Regions from separate parts of the Mus musculus genome. Here region 2 is reported to be linked to region 1. Evidence: microRNA targets listed by miRTarBase, many of them from high-throughput screens and not tested one by one. Region 1 holds a microRNA gene; the other region holds the end of a gene's coding sequence.
What was found. The annotated mature microRNA mmu-miR-1969 reads AAGAUGGAGACUUUAACAUGGGU and lies in region 1 at 2,753-2,775, shown strand. An mRNA with a match to its seed (bases 2 to 7 or 8) in the 3' UTR can be bound and repressed. Matches are read on the target gene's strand: a 7mer-m8 pairs with bases 2 to 8, a 7mer-A1 pairs with bases 2 to 7 and ends in A, and an 8mer does both.

Region 2: miRTarBase lists Msl1 as a target of mmu-miR-1969. Seed matches in the 3' UTR shown: 7mer-m8 at 1,956-1,962.

What each region holds. Positions count from the first base shown.
Region 1 is chr8:70,922,789-70,926,855 of GRCm38, forward strand. It overlaps Mir1969 (microRNA 1969), which reads left to right and starts at 2,737; the gene lies at 2,737-2,830.
Region 2 is chr11:98,805,024-98,809,080 of GRCm38, forward strand. It overlaps Msl1 (male specific lethal 1), which reads left to right. Exons shown (of 9, transcript NM_028722.3): 9 at 319-2,836. The coding sequence ends at 409. All of the region lies in intron 1 of Gm12359 (predicted gene 12359), which reads right to left. Among named protein-coding and RNA genes, the nearest start is that of Casc3, 2.8 kb to the right of the region's middle.

The DNA.
Region 1 (4,067 bases):
CAGGAGGCAGGAGGCAGGAGGCAGGAGACAGAAAATTCTCTGAATTGACCATTACCAAGGCTATCTGGTCTACATACTGAGTTCCAGACCAGCCAGACCTACATAGTAAGACTCTGTCTAAAGAAATTTAAAAAGATATTTATCTTATTTGTGGGTAGGTACCCAGAGAGGCCAGAAAGGGCATTGGATCCCAGACAGCTAGAGTTACAGTTTCCTTGACATGGTGCTGGGAACGGAACTCCAGTACTCTGAAAGAGCACCAAGTGCTCTTAACTCCTGAGCCAAGTCTATGGCTGCAAAAGAGATGGGGGAGGAGGGGGAGGGCAAGAGGGAGGAGGGAGAGGAGGAAGAAGCAGCCTTTTTGTACCTCCTCTTATCCTCAACCCAGTGGGGTTTGATGAGACCAAATTGGTGCATTGGAGTTAAGACTGGACTCATATTCAGGGTCCCACCTTGCCTCCATATGCTCTTAGCCACATACAAGAACACAGTACACACCCTGGAAAACACATAAGCCCTCTTACTACATTTGCCATTGAAAGTAGCCAATCTGGGGCTGAGGCTCTGTTGAGGTGACTTATATATATATTCTCTGATGTGCCCTAGCCCTCTGGGCCATCATATGTAAAGTAGTATTACTTATAAATAAAAACACAAGCAAGTTGTCTTCTTTTGTCTTAATCCTTCACTGCATTCTGGGATTGTATGGGTTGGTCACCTATGAGGTGCACTATCCTGACTGAAGATGGTAGACACTGAACAGAGACAGAATGTGGGCAAGGCTGGGAACACCCTTCCCATCACCTTGTGAATTCAGCAGACACCAGAATGGGCCTGGTCATACATGTCCCCTGTAGGATTCATGGAGCAGTGTCACAGTCACATCAGCTAGCTTACTGCTGTAAACCATTAGAATAACCTGTCACAATCCCATTTCTCTTCTTTAAAATGCAAAGGATGAAGAGATGTTAGAGCACCCGCTGCTCCTGCAGAGAATTGGAGTTCAGTTCCTAGCACTGACATTGCGTGGCTCACATGCCACTACCTCCAACCTGAGCTGCAGGGCTTCCAATGCCCTTTCTGCCCTCCAGAGTTACCTGCATGCACACTCACATGCACATGCAGTATTCATTTGTTTTTCGAGACAGGTTTCTCTGTGTATCGCAGGCTGCCCTGGAACTCACTCTGCAGACCAGGCTGGCCTCTAACTCACAGAGATCCACCTGCCTCTGCCTCCCAAGTGCAGTATGTGTGTGTTAAAGACAAGTGCTGATAGGAGCCTGGTATGGCTGTCCCCTGAGAGGTTCTGCCAGCACCTGACCAATGCAGATGGGGATACTCATAGCTAACCATCCGACTGAGCCTGGGGACCCTAATGGAAGAGTTAGGGGAAGGACTGAAGGGCTTTGCAACCCCACAGGAAAACAACAATATCAACCAACCGGACCACCCAGAGCTCTCAGAGACTAAATCATCCACTAAATAGTACACACGATTGGGTGCGTGGCTCCTGCTGAGCCACCCAATGTCAGTACATGTGTAGCAGATGATTGATTGGCATTGGTGGGAGGGGAGGGCCTTGGTCCTGTGGAGGCTTGATGCCCCAGTGTAGGGGATGCTAGAGTGGTGAGGCAGGAGTGGGTGAGTGGGTGGAAGAGCACCCTCATAGAGGCAAAGGGGAGGGGGAGAAGGGGGATGAGATGTGGGGTTTGTGAAGGGGTAACTGGGAAGGGGATATCATTTGAAGTGTAAACGAATAAAATGATTAATAAAAAACAACAACAACAAAAGACAAGCATCACCGCTGCCACAGCTTAAACATTTGTTTTAATCATTAAAAATAATTGTGCTTGATATTAGGCTTCAAAGCCAGGACTGTGTGCTGTTGCAATTCTGCCAGCTCTAGCCTGGGCTTTTGCCAGCTTTCACTAATTTAATCTAATTTATTAATTAAATCCAAATCATTATTAAAAACTCATAATAACTCATAATTTCAGCCCTGCACATAATTTTTCTTAATACCTTTATCAAAGGAAATTGTACCTGAGGCTGTGCCATCTGCCTCATGAAATCTGTCACCTCCAACACTCTTTCTCAGGGGCCTAGGAGCACGGGGTCCCAGAAGAGACGGTACCACACAGGACAGAAGACAGCTTGCTGGTGGTCACCTTTCAACACTGAGGACCTCACAGGAGTATCATGGTTCTCTTGTTTAGTGAAAATAAGAAACTGCAGCTTTTGAGTTGCAGGTCAACTCACTGTGGAGCTGCCTTGGGTAACGGCAGCCACTCAGACATTAGAGGTATGCAGAGAGTTACCTTTGCTCATGTGGCTGCCTGGGGTCCTTTTGTGTTCTGAGTGGCTCTGGTCATCCCTCTGGGAGTGTCTAACCTTAGTTGAGATGCCACACCCTCCTGTAGGCTGGCTGGGTCCACTGTACTCAGACAGGAGAGCACATGTGCTAATATCAGCTTTCTGTCACTGTGACACAATACCAGAGACAAATAACTTACACGGAAGAGAGGCTGGTTTGGCTTATGACCAACGGGCCAATTCCATTTCATCTCATGGCCGCTTTGGAACAGTGGAGGATCAGCACCTCCCAGGGAAGAATGGGGCAGAAGGAACTGCTTGCTCACAGCAGTCAGGAAGCAAAGAGAAAGGAAGGGAGGAGGGAATGAGGGAGGAAAAGAAAAAGAGGCAGAGATCGGAGACCAGTGTCTCCTCATCTCCCTGATAGTGCTAGAGGCTGAAGATGGAGACTTTAACATGGGTGCTCTTAAAATCTGTTAACATCCATGCTGCCTCCATTTCTGGTCTGTAGACATCACAGCACCCAGAGGAAGGAACTTGTAACATCCTAATCACGGGGCTGGTAGGTAAGGAGCATTCCCTGGGCACAGGTGTCTTCAGCCTGCCCAAGGCTTTCAGCTGCAGGTAACAGGGACTGACCTGAGCTGAGTGCAGACTGGCTTATGGGTAGATAAAGCGCATTACCTGAGAGCAAATGGAAATGGAATCAAGAAGCCAGTTCCAGTGGCAGAAAGTCAAAGGCTTGGAATGGCTGAGGCCTTCCAGACATTGGTTACACCAGCGTGCAGGTACCTGTAGGCCGGTCAGCTTCTATTCAGCATTATGTGTGTGAAGGGTTCCTCAAGTCCTCCTCAGAGCAAGAAACAGAGCTCTGAGAGCTCAGGCGTGTATTGGCAAGAAAGGGATCAACCACCTCCTTGGAGCTGCTGGAGATTGAAGCATGCCCAGTCACCTAGGAAGTCCCACTGACTGGGTCTCAAGGTCCTATGCTGTCAGTCTTTCTGTCCATTACCTGTTTATCACCAAGAGAGCTTTCCATTTTCCCAGTACATAAGCCTTTGCCACCATCACTTTTTCCAAAATTCAAGTTAATTGTTAATATCTATAAGCTTTCTTCTGTTTATGTCATATGCATCATGTATGTGCACGGCATTTGCATGTGTGTGCATGTATATTTGCAAGTGTGTGCATGCCCAGGGTCAACAGAAGGTCTCTATCTGTTATTCTTGGTTTCCTGTTTTGAGACAGGGTCTCTCAGCAAGCCGTCTGATGCATGTACTCATGTCCATGCAGTACTGAGGTTACAGACTGTACCATCATACCTTGCTGGTGATCCAAACCCAGGTCCTCAGGCCTTCATGGAAAGCACTTTACTGAGTGAGCTATCTCCATAGCCCCGAGATCGGTGTATGATAGTGATTCCCACCTAAAACATCTCTGCTGTCCCTGTAGGCGTTCAGCAATGTGGCAAAGTGGGTCTGAGCAGCCAAAGCTGCTTCTAAAAGAACTTTATGCAAATTCAGTTTTCAGCAATTCCTGTTCATCGAGCTGTGGCCATTTGTTGTTCCTCCCTGCCATGTGCTCAAATGTGGGCTAGTGTTCATTAGAGATCTCAGCTGATGAGAATGTAATTCCACCATTATCCACATCTTCGTAAGTGTTAGCATTTCTTCTAGGCTCCATCCAACAACACTCTGGCTTGCTAACAAAGGACTATTTAGGCTCTCTCTCTCTCTCTCTCGTGCTCTCTCTCT
Region 2 (4,057 bases), not on the chromosome of region 1:
CATGATTGTCTGATGACAAGCTAGAAGCCAGGCGTCAGATCTCATTAGGAATGCTCTTTTTGGTTTTTCGAGACAGGGTTTCTCTGTGTAGCCCTGGCTGTCCTGGAACTCACTTTGTAGACCAGGCTGGCCTCGAACTCAGAAATCAGCCTGCCTCTGCCTCTCGAGTGCTGGGATTAAAGGCGTGCGCCACCACGCCCGGCTTTAGGAATGCTCTTTAATCTGAGGTAGATGACATTGCCATTTGGATGGTGACTGTGTCAGCTGACTACTGCCTTGGAAGTAGCCTTGTCACTTTGCTGTCTTTCTTTTTGCCAGGAACTTTGAACTACCCTGGTTGGATGAGCGAAGCCGTTGCAGGTTGGAGATCCAGAAGAAGCACACACCTCACCGGACCTGTAGGAAGTAGCTGTGCTGGCGGTAGCCTGTCTTCAGATAGTTGTAGCATGCTGTTCCGAGAGAATAGCAGAGACCTGTATGTGTGACCTGTGCCCTCATGTCTGTTATCATTCACTGGTAATGCCTTTCCATCCTCCCTTTATATTAGTTTTGTTTTCTTTACTCTGATTTCACAAAACAAACAGAAGAAAGCTCTTGCGTTGGCTGATTGTGAATTAGGGGTTACTGGAGCGGCTTTTCCCATTTTGGGGAGATGAGCTTGAGCTCGTCCTATAGGGGGAGACTTGGGGGTCCCAGGGGCCACTTGTAACTCACCTGCCTGCCTAACGGGGTAAAGGGCTCTTCATTAGCGTGTCTAAGATGGAGCAACCCTTCCTGTAGGAGCTGTGCCTGCCCTGACCCCGTGCCTCCCTGGTGCGCCTTCTGAATAGTGTGGGTGTAGTAGGTTTCACCGTGAACTTTAGGGCCCGAGGAATAGCATGAAGTAATGAAGCAAGACATTCCTCAGAGGGGGAAACTGCAGAGTTTTACCTGAAAGTTTGTTCTCTTTAAACTGCTCTGTGACAGTGGCATGTGGGAGGAGACGTGCAGCTGGTTCACTTTCTTAGTTGATGGGTAACTGAAGTTCCTTCCCACCCCCAACAAAGAAGATGTTTAGAAAAGAGATTGGGAGTGTAAGTTTCCAACTAGTTAACAGTGCTAAACCGATAGAGCTCTCATTTGGGGATGGCATGCCAGAGTCTGTAGAGATGTCTCTGTCATGTCACTTTTCAAGGATTCCTTAGTGGGGCTTGATCCTATTAGCCAAACTTTTGGTGGTGAGGTAGAGATTTGGGGTGGGGCCGGGGGTAGGGTATGGAAGGATATGCTTCCTCTGCCTGGCAGATGTCTACAGCTTGAAACAAACAGTTGTACCTAATGAACTTTATTCGTTTAGTGAAAATAGATTTATACACGAACCATCTTGTTTCCCATCTCCTGCCCTTGTTTTGTTACTGAAAAGATAAAAAAGAAAAAAAAAAAAAAAAAAGAAAAAAGAAAAAAAAATCAGGACAGCACTCCCAGGCCACTTTGGTCTCAGTGTAAGATCCCTGTTAACTATCTGGAAGAGAAATGGAGCCGAGGCCTGTGGGCTTCTGGATAGGAGTTGCCTTTCACTAGCCTTCAGGACTATTGTATAAAAACAAGTTGGGGTCTAATCTCTAGAAGGGTAGGGCTCTTATCCTTGAAGAGAACATGGCCCCAAATTATTAGCACTTTTAGAGGAGAAGCCAAGGTATGTAGGGTGTGTGGTTGGCCCATCTGCTGAGCATGCGAGAATGGCATTGCCACTGTGGGAAGAGACGTTCTCAGGGGCCTCCCACTGCTAAAGCTTTTTTGAGACGTTATCTTGCTCCCTGGGTTTGACTTTGAAAGGAATTATTCCAGCAGTCCATGTAGTGTTCTTGGATGATCTTGCTGCTCTTAATTCTCCTTTGTATGTGTGTGTGTGTGTGTGTGTGTGTGTGTGTGTGTGTGTGTGTGTGTGTGTGTGGCTCTGGGTTTTCACTTGTAACTCCATCTGCTTAGGAGCGTGGTCTCTCTGTGACAGAAGCTGCCATAAACCACCTCAGCGAGGATGTAGAGAGAAAGGGGACTTCTCCGCTAGGGGCTCTCATCTCACACCTTAGGGATGGGGATATAGCTAGAAAGATTGGGCCAGATTGTTGTTGTTGTTGTTGTTGTTGTTGTTTTAATGAGGCCAACTGTTTAGTGCTCCTACTCTGACCTGTGTTGTTTCTTTATAACATGCTCCTCAAAAATAATAACCTCAATCAGTTGTCTCTTTACTTCGTTTCTTGATCCCTCTCAGTTTCTTCTTGACAACGAGATTTGTCAGATTCCTAATTTGGGTATGGGTTAACAGATTTAACCACCAGGTTTCTGCCCTACACAGAGGAGTCCTCAGATCCTGTTTTTGCTAGACTGAGAGGAATCCATGAGGTGCTATCTGGCAGGACTGAAGTGGATTCTATTGCTTTGGTTCTCCTTTCCCTGAGGACCTACTATTTGGTTATGTCCTCTCCTAGATGTCCTTTGGTTTGGGGATGCTGAGGAGGCTGGGGTGAGAGCACAGTGAGGAGCGTGGGGAGTCACCTGCTTCCCCTCCGTGGGGTACAACACTGTGAGATTCAGTCTTCAGCAGAAAGAGAGGCCCTGCACTTCTCTGAAAACATAGTTCCTTATTCTTTCTTTAACAAAGTTTAAGCTAGTGTTAATAAATTAAAAGAGAAATTGCTTGTCTCTCCACCTCAGCTTTATTTTATGCCCGTTTCATATCGTTGTCTGTGCTGTAATTCATACTTTTGATACCATTTCTGATGTGTAAAGTCGGCTGTCTTGTAAATATCTTATAAAGAGTTCAATTGTAAATAAACTATTGTGGCCGTTAACTTTTGAACTTTTGCCTCATTTTATTAGATTTGTTGGGAAACATTATATCTGCTTGTATATATGAAAGAATGGGAAAGAATCTTCATATTAACCCAAGTGAAATAGAGAAATACATCACCGCCCTTCTAATCAGGGGCTCATCCATTGTGTCAGACTCTAGCGTGTGTCTGTATGTTCCTTTGTCCTGAGCCCTTCCTTACACATAAATGGCAAATTACAAAGCTTGTAGGCAAGACTTTATAGGTCACCTACTCAGTGTTTGATACATGATTTTCCCTGGATATCAGTCCAGATAAATGAAGTCCAGATCCGCTTGACCACAGTGTCTTCCTACACACATCTTCTGTATGCTTGAAAACCCTCATTGTAACTTGAAAGCACTGGCTCTTGTTTTGTGACTACAATGATATAGAAAGATCAATCTCTTAGCTCCTTACTTCTCTAATAAGACTCATGTGGGACCCCAGACCATCTGTCTATTCATGCTAAACATTGACCGTTTCTCACAACTGTTTCTCAGGAGGACTGCTATCCCAAGCACCCACACAGCCAGGAGAGCCCCAGGTTCAAGATCAGCCTAGCTTCCATGAGACCCTGTCTCAAAAAACAAAAGAAAGTAGGATCCAGAGCAGGATTACAGGTATTGTCCCCTCATAGCCTGCATCTGGGGAGGCTGAAGCTGGTGGGTCCCGAGTGATGAAAAGGCTAGCTTGAGGTCATAGATTTTCTTAAAAAAAAAAAAAAAAAAGAAAAAAGAAAAAAAACATCCCAAGCTGGATTCCGACCAAACAACTAAAGGACAAAGTGGCATGCTATCCTTGTCCTTATTTAGACACTCAACTTGGCAGTCTTGCTGCACCATTTTAGATTGTGATGGATAAGATTCTTATGCCTTTCACACTTATTAAATCATGCATCCTCCATTTTGAGTTCAGGCAGTTGTTTCTGGAGCTGAACTCCATGATACATTTGGCCACCTGTCACCAGTTGAATCAGTCCCTGCAGACAGTCATGATTCCTTGGAGTCTCATACTGTTTATAGATCTGGTAAGCAGTGGGGACCTTTAGCTATTTATGAAAACAGCTCAGAGTCCTCTTAACTCATCTATTTGATGTATATTAACAATATGCAGTAATAAATTAGCTTACAAACTATATGTTGCTGCAAGGTAGTTGTGCTGAGTTTTCTTTCACTGCTGATAAATGCATACCCAAAGCATTCTCT